Oryzias latipes: one gene and its partner. The protein of the gene in region 1 interacts with the protein of each later gene in a pairwise test. Links are inferred from orthologs where the notes say so. Each region holds a gene or a part of one and is shown in the gene's direction. Other genes may lie near its edges.

Region 1 (3,820 bases):
TCAACCATTCTGACATGAGACTTTTTTTCTCTTTCTTTTTAAAAAAATATTCTCCAATATGAAACTGATGGTAAAAATAAGCAGGACATGCATCTAATTCTTTATTTTCTTTGAGATCTCAGTACCTCAGCAGACTTTCAGCCGGTCAGAAGGTTCTGAAGTTTTATACCATGGTTCGAGTCAATACTCGATTCTGATTGGCTGCTGGGTGTGCGTCAGAAATTGATCACCGCACGCCCCAAACAGAAGTTCCGGTCACATATCTTAAATCTTTTATATGACTGCCAGCTTCTTTAAAACAACCTTTAGCTTCATCATCTGGACAAAAAAAAGCGGCAAGAGGTGAACTTTCTCTCTGAACTGATGCTTTATTTAACCCATCGGGACGATCAGCATATATATATTTATCGCTTTATATCGCCAAATCTCGACCGCAGCGGTGGTGCAACGCCATGTCACATTACCGTGACAACGCGTCGCACCACATAACAAACAGTTCGCTTTTCTGGAAAAAAAGCGATACAAATCGAAAAAAAGAACAAGAATTACGGACTTAAAAACTGGATAATATTTATTTCTTTTGTAAGTCACCATGGTATAAGCGGGTTAATGGCCGACCAAGTGTGCATTATCATTTTTTAACGCACTTCGCGGAAGGGGAGGACGGTTCAGGCTTCAACGCCGTGAGTTAAAAAGTGATAATGCACACGTCGTCGGCCATTAACCCTTACATAAACTGCTTTTGCATTAACAGTAGCTCTGTGTTCTTACTGGAGCGTGGAGCTTATGATATCAGAAAAGGGATTTGATCAGATCAAACTTCCCAATTCTACCCGGCAACCAAGTTATTTATGGAACTTTAAGCATTTTTTATCCGCACACTCACGTCTGCCACTTCCATCACAGTCGCCTGTTTTAGCTACACAGTTAAGAATTCAGGTAGAAATTTTGGTGCAACTACTTGGAATGTTTGTTTTGTTTTTGGACATCGCTTTAAGATTTTTAAAGTATGTTTAACAAAATTAATATTTGAAGCAGAATCTGCAGCATTTGAAGCCTTGTTTACATCAGACAGCTGGTTATCATATCAACATGAAGACACGCTGCCGAGGTTGACGTCATGAAACGGGCGGCACCCACAAGGAGGGAAGGGCGGAGCCTCAGAGATCGAGTCGTCTTATTTTCATTTAGGAAAATGACCTGCAAAAACAACTCCCTTCATTAAAAAAAATATTCTTTAGAATCCCAAAGGTAATATCATATATATGGATACAGTTTACTCCCAAAGGCTTAAGACTAGCATCATATAGACCCTTTAATCTTAATTTTTTATATATATCTATATCTAGATATAGATATGTTCTCCATTATCAGACAAATGCAACAAAAATATGTAAAACACACCAAAAACAAAAATGGATTTTTAAACAGCTGGTGGGAATTTCTCTCCTTTAGTAAAATGATTCTTGATGCTTGTGCAGAACAAAGCATGAGGTCTGAACATTCAGGTTCTGCAGCTGCAAAGCTGAAGGTTTTGTACAGAGAGCCTTTGACGTCTCCTTCCATCTGCACAGAAACTGTGTTCAGCTGCAGTTCCTCCACTCACTTTCCTTCCATAGTTACCCTCCTGGATAATCAAGCCGTTGCAGCTTTTACTGTGAACTTTATCGATTTGGAATAAGTTGTTGCAGCTTTGTTGTTGTTGTTGTTGTCTGTCCTGCCTGCACCTCCTCCAGGAGCTGCAGATCCTTCAGTTGCCGGGGGTTTAAACTGCAGGCACGAGGCATCATGGGGTTCCCGTGTGTCTGAAGCACAGTAATCTGGATTTAAATCCAATCAAATCCGTCTTCTCCAGGAAAATCCTGCAGTTTTTTTAAAGATACATATATCGGTTTTCCTTAAAAGTGAAAGGTTGTTTGTTTTTCTATCAAAACTAGGGATAAATCTATTTCTATTCCTACGATCCAAGCAGATCGGTCTGTCCAAGGCAGAATCGAATCGACCTATACTACTTTAAAATAAAAAAACCTCTCTAACATCCTCCTTGCTGTTTGTCTAGGTGACTGTCACACGCTGAACAGGGAATGATGGGCTCATGTTTATGTGTGTGATTTGCAACTGAATTACAGGAAGAAGATGAAGAAGATTTGGGGGCGGGCCGTCTGCTTTCTGTCAGCCAACGAGTCCAGAATCCGAACAGAGACGCAGAGGATTGGAGGGGCCGACTTCCTGGTCTGGAGGTGGATTCAACCCTCCCTGTCTTGTGACAAAGCCAACCCCATGCCCTCCAAGGTCTGGCAGGGACAAGGTAATCCATGTCCTGGGGCCCTACCCAGCCCCACCCACTCCTGACCCCCCCTTACTGGCTGTATGCACCTCATTGCCCCTGCCGCCCCGGTCAGAGCTCCAACTGAAAAATTCATTTAGAAAAATAGCAGCTTTTCTGTTGGTTTTGTCTCCATAGCAACCGTATCATTTTTTCAAACAGATCAATGTCAAATTTCGTAGAAGAATTTTTGAATCTCCTTGGCAACAGAAGTTTTTTGTAAACTGCTCTCACTTTCCTAATATGTCCACATCGTATTGTCTATTGTTTTGTTTAGCTTGAGCCAACGATTCATGTTTTACATTTTCACGATATTCCAGTTAAAGATTTGCTACCGGCATGGAAACGCCACATTTGTAAGCTCGCCACGCCAAAGCTGCTCAAAATCTACAAACTTTAAACAAACAATAGTTTCCCATGATGCTCGAGGAGTTAGATGGTGAAAGATTAAAATACTTAGGTATATAAATTTGCTGCTGCTGCTATAGGTGATTTATTTATTTTTAACTCTAGGTGGCAGCTTTATCCAAGGTGAAAGGTCAACAAAACTTTGGTTGTGGTTGTAGTATCACCCTGATGGCGTCTATGTGAGATTTCGTGAAGATTACTCGAACAAAAGTCTTTTTCTCACTATGTGAGAGAATGGGGAAAGTCGTCAAATTTTACACTCTGCCAAAAAAACGGCCTCTGAGCTGTAGGTCCTGTGACCATCCCATAATAATCTCTAAACCTTGGATTTCTCTAAAGTATGCTCACACAAGCAGCGTCAACTCGCGTTCAGGCGACCACCTTTAAATAAAAAGTCTATGCATTTGTTCATAGACCAGAATTTCGTCCGGAACGTCTGTGATCGCGCGTTGCTGCACACGTTTTTAAGTCCCGCCACGGCCTCTGCGTACAGAACGGTGTTCATTGATAGTGCGCTGAAAGTTCAACCGGTTGAACTTCTTCCCGCTGAATCGCATCACTGTGACCAATCGGGGACTCGGATTTGATAGTGACGTGTAGGTCGAGTCTTTTTTTTAGACCAGGGAGGTAGCCTAGCAACCGTTGTAAAGATGAAGGAGAAACGAATATTTGCTTTTTGTGTCCGGCCGGAAGAATATGACACCAAGATGAACATTTATAGAAACGGAGCTGAGAAAACAAAAAGCCAGGAGCGACATTTGCCCCCACTTTGACTTTTCACATCAAGTTTCATCCCACTGCAGGTGACAGATAAGCAGACCAGAGCTAGTAGAAAAAATGTGTGTCAGGTGTGAACACCACCGGCTTACACCAGGTACTAGGTGTTTGCTGATTTTGGTGAGTTTTTGGCGGGCGCAAATTTTTGCTCAAAGGCACAGAATTAGAAGAGAATTGTGAAAACAATTCAGTCCAGGACTGCTGATGGACAGATTGAATAACTGCTCAGTTTGCCAAAGAAGCTCCATGAATGTATTATTGGGGTTTTTTCCTGAACGTGGTCACAGTGTTCCCAGTCTGCTCTCTGCA
Region 2 (4,454 bases), on another chromosome or scaffold:
ACAACACAGTTGTATTTTATAAAGTCAAACATCTTGAAAGATGTTTTGATTGAATACTGGTGATTTTAAATTAGGATTATATATCAATTGAGGGGAACGTATATAAAGCTCTCGGTTAGTTTTCTCACTTTCCACTGTTGAATGGTGACGTAAAGAAAGTAAAAATTTTCTATTTGGATGCTAATATTGTTGCGTGCAAAAACTGTTTATCTAAGAATTTAAATGTTTATCCCATCAGACAAAACAACAACGCGACTTTATATGATAAAAAGTAACGTTATGAAAAGCCAGATAGTAATAAAACAGACGTTCCGTCATCCCATGCCTCAACACTGAATGAATGAAAGTCTGGGCGTGACACAGGTGAAACGCGGGAAAGCGCGCGCTGCTGCACGCGCAGAAGGCGCTACAACTAAAATCCCAGAAAACCTGGGAATGTTCCAGCATAGAGAGGGCGGAGGGATCTGGCAAACAAGCGCTGAGGTTCCAGTCAGACTGACGCCTCCAAGGCTGCGCGGCGCTCCACTGTGGCTGCTGAAGGAGGGGAGCCGGAGCTCTTCAAACCTGCGTCAAAGGCGCCATGGACAGTCACACCGGAAGCGACGAAAACTCGACCTTCATAATAAAAAGCAAAATTCACAACTTCCGTTACAGTATGTAAACACTTTATTATACCAAAAATAATTTTTGGGGGTGTGTGGGTTTTCTCAGGGGACTCCGGCTTCCTCCCACCGTCCAAAAACATGCTTCATAGGTTAATTGGTCACTCCAAATTGTCCATAGGTGTGAACGTGAGTGTGCATGGGTGTGTGTGTGTGTGACCCTGCGACAGACTGGCGACCTGTCCAGGGTGTCCCCTACCTTTGCCCATAAGTGGCCGGGATAGGCTCCAGCAGCCCCGTGACCATGAAAGGGACAAACGGAAGAAAATGAATGAATTAATAATTTTTGCGAGAATCGATTTGAGCATTTTGTGACATACGTGTTCTTTAACACTGAAACTTGAGTCACAGTTTAAGATTTTTTTTAAATTAATAAACTTCCACTCCATTCTGTGTAACTGTTTTAATATTCATTCATTCAATCAATCAATCAATCAATCAATCAATCAATCAATCAATCAATCAATCAATCAAGACAAAACAAATCTTGGCACCACTGTCAGGACAGCTGTTTAACTAGATTATATTTCATAGTTACATTTTTTGTTTGTTAGTGTAATTATAATAGCTCAAACAACAACAGTAATAAAAACAACAGATAATGACAGTAAATATCACAGGAATACAATAAATACTATTTTATAATAATAACATGTATCATATTTTAATACAATTTGAACAAAACAGCAAATATTAAAATTAAAAACAAAAAAGAAAATATATATTCTCATGAAAAAAAAGACGTCTGAAGTCATGTGGGCCATAAATTAAATGAACAAAGAGTACGTCTAGTAAGACGGTTTTTTAAATTGATTTTGTTGAATTCATTCTTATAGATAAGGCAAAAATAATTTTAACAATTAGGGTTTTTATGGTTAGTAAATAAGCTGACTGTAGTGCACATTTTAAAAGTTGGTAAAACTAGTTTTTAAACATTTTTACGTAGTTGTCTATTGTTGTATAGTTGTCTAAGGTGTAGTGAGAATTATCACACAAAAAAGCAATCTTTTCTCATCATTAAAAACGTATCTACGTTGGCTCAAGAACGAAAGCCACATGCTTTTATTCTGAAAGGAAGGATTTCAAACAATTTCCCGTTGACGCTGTCTTTACACTCCCGCGTGGACAGACAGACACAACACACTCGAGGCAGACGCGCACTTCCACAACTCTGACTTGACGGGGAAGCTGCCACACTCACGACCTTCTTCTGTGCACTTGTTATCACAACAGAGGTGAGGAAACAAACCGTCTTCCTATTTGCAGAGGGAAATAGTTTATGTATCTTGTTATAAAGTAGTATTTTGAACTTTTTGTCATCTGAACTTTGATTTTATTTTGGGAATTTGCGCAAGATGTTCCTATCAGGTAGTGCTTATAAGTAAGTGGGGGAAATTGAAACGAAATATTGCAATTAAAAAAATTACCTTAGTATAGCAATGAACAGAAGTTGGCTTTAAAAAAACTGCAATTTTTAAAAGTCAGGGGGAAAAAAGTTAGTAAAATCAACAATTGATGGTGATCGCACATTTTTAAACCAAATGTGTGTTTACTTTATTTATTTATTTATTTTTTAGCAGAATCTGGATTTGACTGCGGGGGGAAATAACCGCATGGAGTGATAGTAAAAGGAAGCCTGGTGTTTACTTTTTTGGGAAGGGGTGCACTAGCGATAAAGCATTAGGTAATTAGTCTATCTGAGGCTGCAGACTCGCTGACGCCAGGGTTCCATAAAGCAGCAGCAGCGATGGACTGATCCTGCACTGAGCTGGGGCGCTTTTGCTGTCATTGTAAAAACTTCAGCTGTCTGTCTGCAGTGGACAGGCCAGTGGTGGCCGCATTGTGCCGGTGCTTTCATGAAGTCATGTTACCTGTCATCATTTTAGACTCACCTGAGACATTTCTGCAGCGCTTCAATGAAAAACGTGCTCAGACATGCAGTCAAAATTTGCATCTAAAAATCATGTGCAAATGCTCAAAACCAGATATTGTTTAACCACTGAAGATACAGAGATTCATTGGGGGTCTGCTGCTCCAGCACCCCTCCATTTGTGTCATTTCCAGGACGGCTGAAATGCAAAGACACAAGCAGAAGTCTCCCTCCCGGTTTCCCTCTCCCCCTCCTGTCCTGTGATGTGTTCTGGCCAGACAGAATGGCTCCTGGGCGTCAGTGGCATGATCACAGAAACAGAGGCCAGAAAGGACGTTCCCCCATCAGCGGTGAATCTAGAAATGAGTTTTGGCCACGTTGGTCTGCTTTTTTTCTGGAATTATTCTCTGGAGTGTTTTTTTTTTTTACTCCATACAGACCTTTGCCATTGTGTAGTTTGTGGAAGAGCAGTTTGAAGTGTTACCACACCGAGAAAGCCTCATGATTATGGAAATCCATGTTTTTGCACATTTTTTATAAAGCCACTTACAACAGGTTAAAGACCCACCACACACTTGGTGTTTTGAACATGTTCTTGTAGCATTTTCCTGATGATGGAGGACATATATGAAGAAAAATAAGCTTAAAATTGAATTTCTGAGTATTTCTTTTTTCAAATCATTATGTATCAGGAATAAACAAAGAAATGCAGTTGGGAAAAGAGTGTATTTGTTTGGTGGAAAATATGCATCCTCTTGTAGACGACTAGATTAATTCACGTCTTCGTTTTCCTCGTCTGAGCTGGGATCCGGATCAGAACTGAATGACTCCAGTATTGTTCATTATTTTTGTTGCACCAGTGATGTTAGCTTAGGGTTGTGAGTCGCTGTAAGATGGCGGGAGAGCATGTGAACAGATGGATGATGGGAAGTAGGGGCGGGGTGACTTCATTCCAACGGTCCCACCCACAACTCAGAGGTGAATTTCTAATGAACTGCCGCTCTGCAGAAACTATGTCAAACAACACAGTTTTTTTTTTGGCTAAAAATGACATAATTAAAATTGGGTACGCTTTGAAAATAGATAAAAAGGTTACCGGAGTTGGACTTGAAGCTCCTGCTGCACTCATCTTCTCTGTGGTACCTGACCGTCCTACACCTCCTCACTCCAGTACGTTGATGCAGTCTCTCCTGTCTCTCCTCAGATGATTGAAACTTGACCTGGGCTTCTGGCTCTGTGAGGAATAACCTTCCCAGCAGGAGGCTCAATCCAGAGCCGCCAGATCCCTTTTGTGCCGGCACAGAGACAGGATTGGGAGCTGGCTGGAGTCCAGCGTCTTCACTGAAAGCTGCTTGGAAAAAAAGCAGAGGAATACAAACAAAAACATCTGCCCTGACTCAGCACGTCAGCTCTTTTAATCTTGCCTCCATTTTTTGTTGTTGTTTTTTACGTTGTGGTCGATAAATTCCTGTCCTCGAGGGAACTCTAATCCAACTTGACCTATCAGTTCATCTCCCCGACTGTGCTTCGCCCTCAAAATGAACTCCTCCACGTCCTTTACGTCCCTGTTCTCCTTCACCAGCCCGGCAGTGAAACGGCTGCTTGGCTGGAAGCAAGGCGACGAGGAGGAGAAGTGGGCCGAAAAGGCTGTCGATTCTCTTGTTAAGAAACTCAAGAAGAAGAAAGGAGCGATGGAGGAGCTGGAGAGAGCCCTGAGCTGTCCCGGGCAGCCCAGTGAGTGTCACAGACCTGCAGCGATGACAGTCAATGTGCTGGAGACATTACAAAAACACACCAAAAAAAGGATTTGGATCAGGATGAATTATTCTCTATTCCCTAGCATTTTTATCTAAAAAAAATCATATATATTTTACTGGTTAGTTATGTCAAAACCAGCAGTAATCAAGAAAGTGCAATTGTGT

Evidence for each region.
Region 2: the proteins of lemd3 (region 1) and smad9 interact in binary tests that used the Homo sapiens proteins (3 or more experiments, as listed by UniProt). The link is inferred for Oryzias latipes from reciprocal best matches to the Homo sapiens genes LEMD3 and SMAD9.

Annotation. Positions count from the first base shown.
Region 1 is NC_019881.2:11,313,525-11,317,344, forward strand, and holds part of lemd3 (inner nuclear membrane protein Man1), read left to right. Parts: intron 1-2,129; coding exon 2,130-2,308; intron 2,309-3,820.
Region 2 is NC_019872.2:10,262,838-10,267,291, reverse strand, and holds the start of smad9 (mothers against decapentaplegic homolog 9), read left to right. Parts: upstream 1-1,491; 5' UTR 1,492-1,897; intron 1,898-2,700; exon of another isoform or gene 2,701-2,726; 5' UTR 2,727-2,882; intron 2,883-3,736; 5' UTR 3,737-4,070; coding exon 4,071-4,266; intron 4,267-4,454. UniProt on the Homo sapiens protein: Transcriptional modulator activated by BMP (bone morphogenetic proteins) type 1 receptor kinase. SMAD9 is a receptor-regulated SMAD (R-SMAD).